Linked DNA regions of Drosophila melanogaster. The gene in region 2 interacts genetically with the main gene of each other region. Each region holds a gene or a part of one and is shown on either strand. Other genes may lie near its edges. The genes, in order: al and sbb.

Region 1 (5,188 bases), on a different chromosome or scaffold from region 2:
ATAATGGCAAGCATTTTGGGTGGCTTAACTTTTGGCCCCGAGCGAAAGCTCAATGATCGCCCCCGATACCAGTCCCTTGGTGGTCCCCTGGAGAAGTTGACGGATTGGCCAGCGACGTTCCAAGCTTGGTCGTTTACTTTTGGTTCGATAAGACCAATTATTATTTTCGACCAGCTCTTGTAAGTCACCCAGAAATGTTTTTAACTAATATCACAAGCAGCTGAGCTGGGCCGAGTCGAGTCAATTCCGTAGTGTTTATCTCATTTAAGCTGCACCTGAGCCCTCCATTCACCTTCCAGTTGTTGGGTTGTTTGTTTCTTGGCGCCGTCTTTTGGACCAGGTGCGATAAGGCAGCATTCTTGTTGTTGGCCAGGCGCCGTCATCATCGTCTGTTTCTGTACCTCTTGTTCTGGGGTGTACGTTATGGACCTCTAATGCACACACTCCCAATTATAATTAGTTTATTCATATCCTGTGTCGAAGTTGCTGCCTCATTTGTTGTTCTTTTCCACAATCTTAATTCAATTTACTGCCTATCAGACGAAGTTGCAACGAAGGGTCTAGTACCCTTCCCCTACGCCTGGTGAATGAAGTTGGTCAACTAAGTTGTTGATCTACTTATCCTATATAATCCCTAATATGTCTACAATTTAAGGTATACATTAAAGTTTTAGGTCTACAGGCAGAACACGTTCCCATTTGAGACTATCTATTAGCTAAATACAATAAAAATTGTATGTACTTGAACTTTTGGGTAAAAATGTATTGACACATGGATTTCGAGCTCTCCAAGGGCATTCGAGATTCGCTCCCAGGTAGCAAAAATTACCCCGTGTCCACCCTAATGGATCAGAGTGCCGGGACGGTAGTCCAAAGGTAGACGCAAGTTCAAATTGTGACTCAGAGCCAGGATCAGCAACTCAAGACCCACACAGAAGACCAAGAAGTTGTTGATGGTGAATGGCGATGCTGTAGCTACAAGCTTAGCCCGTGTTGGTGATGTTGATGCGGGGCCAATTACTCATAAAAAGCATGTTAAGAACAGCAGTCGCAGTGAGGAGCTATAAATTGGGACCGGAGGGGATCGGGGATCGGTGATCGGTGTTCGGGGATCGGGGATCTGGGGATTGGACAACTGTTGCCCGACGCCATCTCCATCTTCGACTGTTCCGCCCTGCCCTTTGTCATTGTCTTGTGTGGTTTGATAAGCGAATCCGAGGCAGACGGTGGGCAATTTGTGGACGACGACGTTAATTTCTCATGTTTGCATGTTCCATTTAGCGAGGGGCAGGGGACAAGAATTAATGAAGCACATCTCAAAGGGCCCTGGCGCCATCTTCCCGCTGGAGAAGATTTCTCTCGGGGGGTGTGTTGCCATCAACGATCAACAATCAACCGACATCCCTTCAAAAGACAGCGCCCCAAATTGGGAGCTGTCGAGCAATCGAACAACAGCGAATCAAATCAAATCAGAGTTCGTGTTCAGATAGCTGCCAAAAATTCGGGTGTATATCTACAAGATACAGTATCTAAGGTATCTGGCAACAAGTTTTAATTGTATGTTGCCGTAATTGAATTGAACTACATTTCGGTGGAGAACATATTTTAATTTTACGCTGTACGGGACAATCTTATCGAATCTTTTCGGTATTATCTATTGGGAATGATGCTACCTCATAGATACAAATACACTGCGACCAACTTGCGTCACAAATTCGTTTAAACTTGTGCTGACAAGTCACATGAGTTATAAGTATTAATTAAATCAGTTGGCCAAGTGCCCGATTATCACCAGGAAAGAGGGTCCCGGTTTTCCTTTGCCTTATCAGGACCCACATATCTGTCTATATTTGTGTTATTTTCACTATATATTCGGGGCCCTCGTCCGCGTCACGAAGCTAAGTGGTCAGTGGCTTTTGACAAGATTATCGGCGGGTGATAGGTGTGGCTGGTTAATTTCATTTATTCTGTAGGTACACGGGACAAGCATAAGACTATGCCCCCAACTTTCGACCAAAACCACCTCTAGAAGGGAAAAACATCAGCTAGACAAAACGTGATTTATTGGCGCTGACTGCACTGCTGACAATTTGTACTCTTTAATGGTGTTTAATTAAAACCAATCAGCGATAAACTTATCGAACTATCAGCTAAGGCAAAGGCGAAATCTTTCGACCCTCAAAATTGAGTTAATAAAATTCTATTCTACAGCGATGATACGATTTGGCTTGATATTTGTCTGATTTGATATGTCCAGGTGGGAAATTAATCAAATTTAATGATATTTATGTCTCGTCATACGTTTTATTTTTCCCTCTTCACATTGATTGGGATGATTAGACAGGTGAATTATGAAATTCATTTATGGCTTATACTTGTAGTATTTGTCTATCATGCTGAGAAGTAGGTTATTCGCAAGGTGTGATAATAAGTTTATGTGATTTGGGGATCGGAAGTGGCGGAAAAGGGTCAAGATTAGTTTAGGGCTAAAACAAAATTTATATAAATTGCTTGATTAAGAAAATCCCTATCTTTGATATGATATAAGGCAATGACTACGGTTGTGATAAAAAATTATGAGTTACAGTAACTAGGATTCCCTGTTTAATGCACGCTCTCGATATAACAAATCCTATTCTGTCCAAAGAATGTTTCATATATTTTTGATAAAATGTCTGAGACTAACCTTCCTTCTCCTCCTTAATCGCCAGATATTGTACGGATGGTCTTGATAATGTTTGGCCTTCTGAATCTCTCTCTTCCTATTTAACCGGGCTAATAAGCCCTGTAGCTCTCACCAACAGTAACTTTTGCCGACGGTCTTTTGTCCACTTCTTCCAACAACCAGATACCGAGTACCAAGCGTTCACTTTGATCGCGATACACCTTTGATGGGTATAACTTTGTACTACGCGCAGGATACCGACACTTCCGCAATCGTACGCACTTTAACCCGGAAACAACAATGTATCCCCAGCTCGACTATTCGAATCGGAATCGGAACCGAACGCGACGAGATGACCGGGCTGTTCCAGAGCCGGCAGCAAACTACACGGTGAGCAGTTGGCGCGCAGGTGAAAACTCTGGTGGGTCTGAAACAACAACCGGTTGGAGTTGTTGTTTTCCAATGTTGCGAGAGTGGTTTTCTGGCCTCCCAGTGTTTTTAGTGTTTCGTAGTGCCGCAGAGCGAGAGGGAGCGATGCGATCGGAGCATGTCGATCGATCGTCGCAGGTGTCGCAGGTGAGGCGGCAGGTGGCCGGGAGGCGGACTCCGCCTCTTTCTGGCGGTTCGGCCTATGGGAAAGCAGCATTCGACGGAGCGAAATAATGGCGGAGCTGCTCTCTACCGCTCTCTGTCGCTCCGCATGGCCCTCTCTCTCGCGCCTCTTCGATTGGGCGTAATTGAATAAGCCCCGCACAAAGTGCAATAAATTTGATTAGCAAAATGGAAATTTATTTGCCCCCCAGCTCAACGCGTTTTCCTCTGGTTGCCATAGATGCATTTGCCAGTTGTTGCGGCTCATAAATTAAATAATTTAGCCAAGACATATGGGAAAAAGAGTTGCGTGTATTGGGGTGGGGACTTGGAACCGGCCATATAGACCGTTTTGGTAGTGTTAAGGGCCTCGTTAATGACTTTGTTGGCTTTATTGGATGATTGTCGGACTGTAGACTGTTTTGCTTACCCATCGGAGTGGGGGTGTCATGCGGGGAAGGGCAATAACTTGAGAAAAAGGTCAATGAGCCAGCTATGTAGATGACTCAAGTTAAATTTGAATGAAGGATGTTTGGAAAAGCCGTTGATAGTTTTTAAATAAGTGAATATTGATTTAGATTGATACAACGTGAAATACAAGCCATAGGCTTGTACATCACATCATTTTTATCACATCCATCTTCGTAATTTAATGTAATCCAAGGAAAAATGTTTTCCGTCCATGATGAAAAACTGAACTCAGCCCAGCTCTTGCCATTTCCGAGCAGACCTAACAGATTCCATTCCTTGATAACCACTTCATTAGGCTTTATATAAGCGGGCCTTATACATCCACAGATCCATTCCAGCGGCATTTTGCACTGGAAGCGTCCCCCTCCTTCGACCATCATTCGCTGCCCAATTTGCTTGTATCGCAAGGCAATAAATAAAGTGTTAATGGCAATTGCATACAAATAGTTTGGTGTTGCCATTATATGGCCATATTATCCCATTGTCGGGCCTTAACAAGAAGTAAACAATGCGACGCTCTCCGAGTTCCATTGCAGATCGGAATAGGGATTGGAGTCGGAGTTGGATCGAGTCCGCTGCACTGCTGCCAATTTCACGCTTCATTTACGGGCGAAATGCAAACAAAAGACCAGCGACCATCGACCGTCGACGGACGAGGAGTGACCATTTGTCCGACGAGTTCAATGGACAGCAAACTCGGACCGGGATCGGGAATATCTGGTACCGAGCACGGTATCTCTCGTCCCCATGTGGCCGTGTCAATCAGCCCGTCGCGCAAGGTGTGCACTTATTATACCCAGTGTTCGGGAAGAGCAAGGGCTTGATGTATTTACCCTTGAATAAGATGGTATCCTCACAATTGAACTTCATTTAATTTATTTTAATCGGAATCCAAATTAGAGAATTGTCAGGTCTTTATATGTACAGATTCAGTCCGCAGCATATATGCTTATAAGAGGATATTTGATGGTTTATTCGAATAGGGAAATTTCGTAATTTAGCGGTGAAATGGATCTAGTACTAGGTATTCCTCTGTCTCAATACATCCGTGTGGACATTCTTCCCCGTTCGGACTCAATTCGGGTCCACTCTAAGCAGGCTCAGATCGCTCCACAGCGCGAAAGAGACGGAGGCTTAAAGTGAAAGAGTCGCGCATGCGCGCACGTCCTAATGTAATTATTATCTCAACAATTGAATTTCCGGTCCCGACTTCGACTCCGCGCTGTGGCTGTGGGTCTGCATCCACTCCTGCACATGGGACAGATGTCGCGCAAAACGCTACAAATGTGCACTTAATTGCGCAATTAAATAATTTTATTTCTGCTGCGCGTTTTCCTTTTTCTTCTTTTCCCCCATAAGTCGTTCGCCGTTTTTCTCCTGGCTGATAGCAAACAAATTGCAGCCAAGTGGCCAAGTCAGCTCGCCCGTTCCCTATCTGCTGTCCGAGGTGTCTTATTCATT
Region 2 (4,899 bases):
TCGCTTAATTGTATCTGCGTGTGCGTATCTGTAGCTATGTGTGCATATCGGCAAGTGTATCTATGCATTTATGACTAAACAGTTGTTTAAATAAACACTTTTGGCATGTTTACCCGAAATGCGTCTGCAATGTTTACTTAATTAAATCGAGAAATGAGCAAACAAAACGAAACGAGAAACGCAAACAACAACCCTATCTACAACTATATAAACTTAAATTTAAATAAACTTAAGATAAGGCAACGGAGATTTTGCTTCCGGAATTAGAAGCGAATTTAAATTTGCACAGATAAGCAGTATAATCAAGTAGAAATGCTCGTTAAGGAAATGTATTTTGTATGGGTTTTAATTTATGACCAAATGGATAGGTGGGCAGTGAAAGATTAGCATAGTATTAGTTTATAACCAGTAGGTTTTAAGTAATATTTTTTATAAAACTAAATATTTTCACTTAAGAAACATCATATTTTTAAGAAAGGGAAATAAGTGAAATGTAACTTTTCCATTTGGAAAAAGAGCACCATACACCCGATATTCATTTTCATAATTCGAGTAAATGCAAAACACGCCCAGTGACGCCCCCCTCCCTTCCTTACCCAATCAATGCCCCAACCCCACCTGCACCCCCACCCCCGCTCCACTGTTTTGTTTATCGCTCATCGTTCGGCTGCGCGCTGTTTGCCATTCGGTTCGCTTGACGCGTCGCCGCAGGCTTCATTAGGTGAGCGTGATTCCGATTCGCATTTCCATTTCGACAACGATTCCCATGCCCCCCGCTGCACCCTTTCTCATCGCTCTTCTTGATGACCCGCGAATTCCGCTTGTCTTCCCACATTACGCTTGCAAAACGAAATTCCATTCCATTGGTGCCGAACAAAAACCCAAATTAAATCCACTTCAATAAATCTCAAAAAGGTAACAAACAAAATACAAAAAAAAAAAATAAATAATAAAAAAACCAAGCACACCAACCGGCCTGTCAATTTTCTAATCGCTCGAAATAACAAGAAAAAACTCCATTTAATTACAAATCGGCTTAGATTGAAACGCCTTAATTGGCATTAACTCGATGAAAAAAAAAAAATGTGTACACGAATACTTGTGCGGTAATTAATCAAACTGGAAATCAATTTAGGCTCATGCCCTCTCGTTCCCTCTCTTCTTTGCTCTCCTTCTGACTCAATAGGTATCTGTGCTGTGCGAGCAAGAGAGAAAGTGTGGAGTATCTTAGAGATGTGTAAACTTAAACAATAGAGATTTTATTGCAGCTAAATGTTGGCTCTTTGTTTATTAACTCTATTACAATTGTAAATTAAATTAATTAGATAGTCTAAATTCGATAATAATTACTGTAACTTACCTTTTTATAAATCCAAAATAGTCGCAATTTCTGCTCTGAATATGCGCGTTCCCGATTTATAGACAGCATCCAAAAGATGAAGAGAAGGCTCGGGGGTCGGGTGGCAATGAGCAGTGGGTGGCGATGGGCAGGTGATGATTCCTTTGCTTCCTGGCTTGCTCGCACCCACAGTGAGCGACTATCGTGAGGGGGGTTTGGGGAGAGAGTGAGAGAGCACGCGAGAGGGCGTAATAATCCACAAAAGAAACTCCCAAACTCCCAGCTCCCGGAGCTAACGGAAGGTGAAATGCAAATCCGCAAAATTTTCCTAGCAGCGCAATCTCAGGAATTATTTTCCATTTATGTAAGAGCGAGAAAGAGAGAGAGAGTCAAACTTGGCTTTTCTTTCTGCTTTTCACTGCTTCTGCTGGATTCTATTGCTGCTGCTTCTTTTTTCTGCTTGTTTTTCACTTCTTTGACACTTTTTGCATTTGCTTCTCTTTTCTATTTTTCTTTTTTTTGCGACAAATGTATGAACTTTTTTATGAGGTTAGTTGTTGTTTTTTTCTTTATTTCTCTACAAATACACGAAAAAACGGCACTTTGAGTAAGGCGAGGGAGGGAGACGACGAGAGAGGGAGCGCGTGTCCAAGCTCTGTTGCCTTTGCCTTCTCTCCGCCTGTACATATGTATTTGGCAGAACAGAAGCTGCTCCACCGCACACATACACGTGTACATGCATAGCAAGAGAGGCGGTGAACAGAGCTTGGGGCATAGAAAAAAAATACACGGGGGAGTTGTTGCACGACAGAGATACGGCAAGCGAGGGGAGAAGTGGACACGAAGAGAGACTATACGACCGACGGACTGACGCGACGCGACTTCACCTTGCACACGCGCGGAAATTGGCGAGAGCGACAAAGCGACGACGGGTTCGTCGTTTGTCGGCGTTCTTTTACCGCAATGTTTGTGCGAAACATAAAAAAGCTTTGCACATACACAGCGGCTGGCAGTGCGAGCGAGAAAGAAAGAGACAGAGAGGGAGAGCGCAATACACACACACACACACACAAGCACATGCAGTGGCTGTATAGTAATTTTATTCCGGTACTATTCAACTGATGAAGCTTCTGTTGCTGTTGTTGTTATTGGCAGCAACATATTGCCAGTGCCACACTCTCATTTTGGTTCGTCTCCTTTTCCTTTCTTTTTTTACTACTACTTTTTAGTAGTTTTCTTTTCCTTTTTTTTTGGCGATGATGATTACGCTGCTCTTTTAACACACAGAGATACACATACAAACGCACGCACAAGTCAGGCCCAAGTGGGTAATTTGTTTTATGAGTAGCGGCAAATAGCACTTGTGTATGATTGTCGCTCTCCTCCTTCTTCTCGTTGCTGTTGTTACTCTTCTCTTTTCATTTTTTTTTTCTGTTGTGAATGACAGACAGCTACGAGTAATAATTTTTAATGCGTTTTTGGCATTTCTACGTTGCTTTGGGTTAATTGCTTGAAACGCGACGAAACACTAAATCACGCACACACAGATACGCGGTACGACCAGAGAGCGAGAGGCCAACAACACTTATTATTTTGTTGTCGAGTTGAATTACATTAAATGCACATGAGGAAATCACACTGGGGAACAGCTTTGCTTACTTCTTTTCCACAGATTTTAGTCCTTCTTGCTTGTTGTTTTTGGGATGTTGTTTTTCTTAATTAAAGATAGAACCTGATCCGCTCAGTGTTTTTTATGTTTTTGTTTGGCGACAGCGTTTTATCCGTGCTGTCCGAACGAACCGAAGGAGCAACGCGTACAAAAGCGCATAAATTGAGAGGCGAGAGTTGGCTAGCAACGCGCAGGGTTGTCGGCTATATGGGGAAAAATAACAAATACATTTCGGTAATTATATGGTTCCGAAAGAATTCTTGTTTTTAGTCGAATGCTTCTCTGATATAGTTATCGCGATTTCAAACTCTTAAAAGCAATAAAGTTACAATTTACTAATAAAAAGATTATTTACTTGTTAATATTCTCAGCCACTTGACAACCCTGCGGCATTTTCTACACACACATCCACTGCTTACATCGCACACACTGGCATTCCCATGCACATACACAAACGGTCTCTGAGCGGCATTTCTTTAATGGCGGCTTTTTCGCTCTTGCTCGTGCGCTCTTAGTGCCCTCTCCCGCTCTCTTGCTCTGCCGACGCCATATTGCGCAGTTATGTATGTTCATCCCTTTCCAATTTGTTTACAGTGCCGTCGTGTGGTCTCTCACTTGTCCGCTGTTGTTGTTTGTGTTATTGCGTTTGTTGCTCTTGTTATTGCTATGCCTCTGCAAATTGTTTTTGGTGGGGTCCTGAGGATTGATTACTGATTGGCATGTCGTTCGCCTATAGTCAGTTGCCTTTTGTTGTAGTTGTTCTTCCTTTCCGTTTGCTCCTTCTTATTGTCTTTCACCTTCTCACCACACGCACGCTGGCAGGCACACGCACACACCTCACCACCACCTCCACCATCTCCTCGACCAAAGACCATTTCCTCCTTGTTTTTTTTTTTTTCGTTGGTGGGCTGGCGGTTGGGGGAGTAGCATATAATGACATAATGAGATTTATTAGGCGCAAAATAAAGCCATAATGTTCCATTTGACCTTTGTGTAACTTTGACAGTGGTAATTCTCGCCTTCCTGTGCCACCTTATTATTATTATGATGATGGGCAAGAAATATCCTTGCTGTATATACATACATACATATGTATACATTTACATATATAGGGTGCATTGCAGAACATGAGCATTTTCAATTCGTCGTCAGCATTTTGAAAGTTGCCTTTAGCAGTCGCCGATGCAAAAGGCAAATAAGTTCCACTCAGCCCAAGTTTCAGATCAGGAGCGCTTAGGTTAAGCTGGTACAAGCCTATTTGTTTAAATATTTGTATATTTGAGCACTGTATTACATTTGTCTTTTTTTTTTTTTTTTTTTTTTTTTTTTCGATGATGTTTTTATTATTTGATCAACGCACTGTTACCCATGCGGCAACTTAATTTGATCTGCTTAAATTATTTTATTTTACAATGTGTCTTGGTTACTTAAGACTAACAGATTTTTAATCCTAAAAATGATAGGGAGAATTATAATAGTTGATATAACATAGTAATTATTATTTATTTGATTATTCTAATGAATTTTAAAACTAAGACTTTCTAGGTCAAAACCAGGTTAGGGAGGTCATGAGGGTGGTGTCGCTTGAGTCTTCTTTTGACTCTAGTCCGAGGGTCAGCATTGACCACAGCTGCAGTTCCTAGCTTCCTTGCTAGGCTGTTGGGGTGTACATTAAGCCTTTCCATATATTTTTGGGCGATGTTCTGGAGCTTGTCTCCTAATTTGGGCACCTTGAGGTCGCGTTCGATGTCTCTTGTTCTCATATACCAAGGAGCCCCCGAAATTCTTCTTAAGGTCTTCGCCTGTAAGATCCGGATCTTATTAAGGTGACTCTTCGCAGCAATGCCGTATACCTGCAGGCCGTAGAACAGGCAGGGGGCCAATATGGACT

What was found.
Region 1: of sbb (region 2) and al, changing one enhances a phenotype caused by changing the other (phenotypic enhancement), as found in Drosophila melanogaster (one study listed by BioGRID).

The regions. Positions count from the first base shown.
Region 1 is NT_033779.5:375,980-381,167, reverse strand, and holds the start of al (aristaless), read right to left. Parts: upstream 3,057-5,188; 5' UTR 2,687-3,056; intron 1-2,686. UniProt on the Drosophila melanogaster protein: Involved in the morphogenesis of proximal and distal pattern elements in a subset of appendages. Also has a role in early imaginal disk development.
Region 2 is NT_033778.4:18,354,140-18,359,038, forward strand, and holds the start of sbb (scribbler), read right to left. Parts: upstream 3,158-4,899; 5' UTR 2,999-3,157; exon of another isoform or gene 1,917-2,998; 5' UTR 1,361-1,916; intron 1-1,360.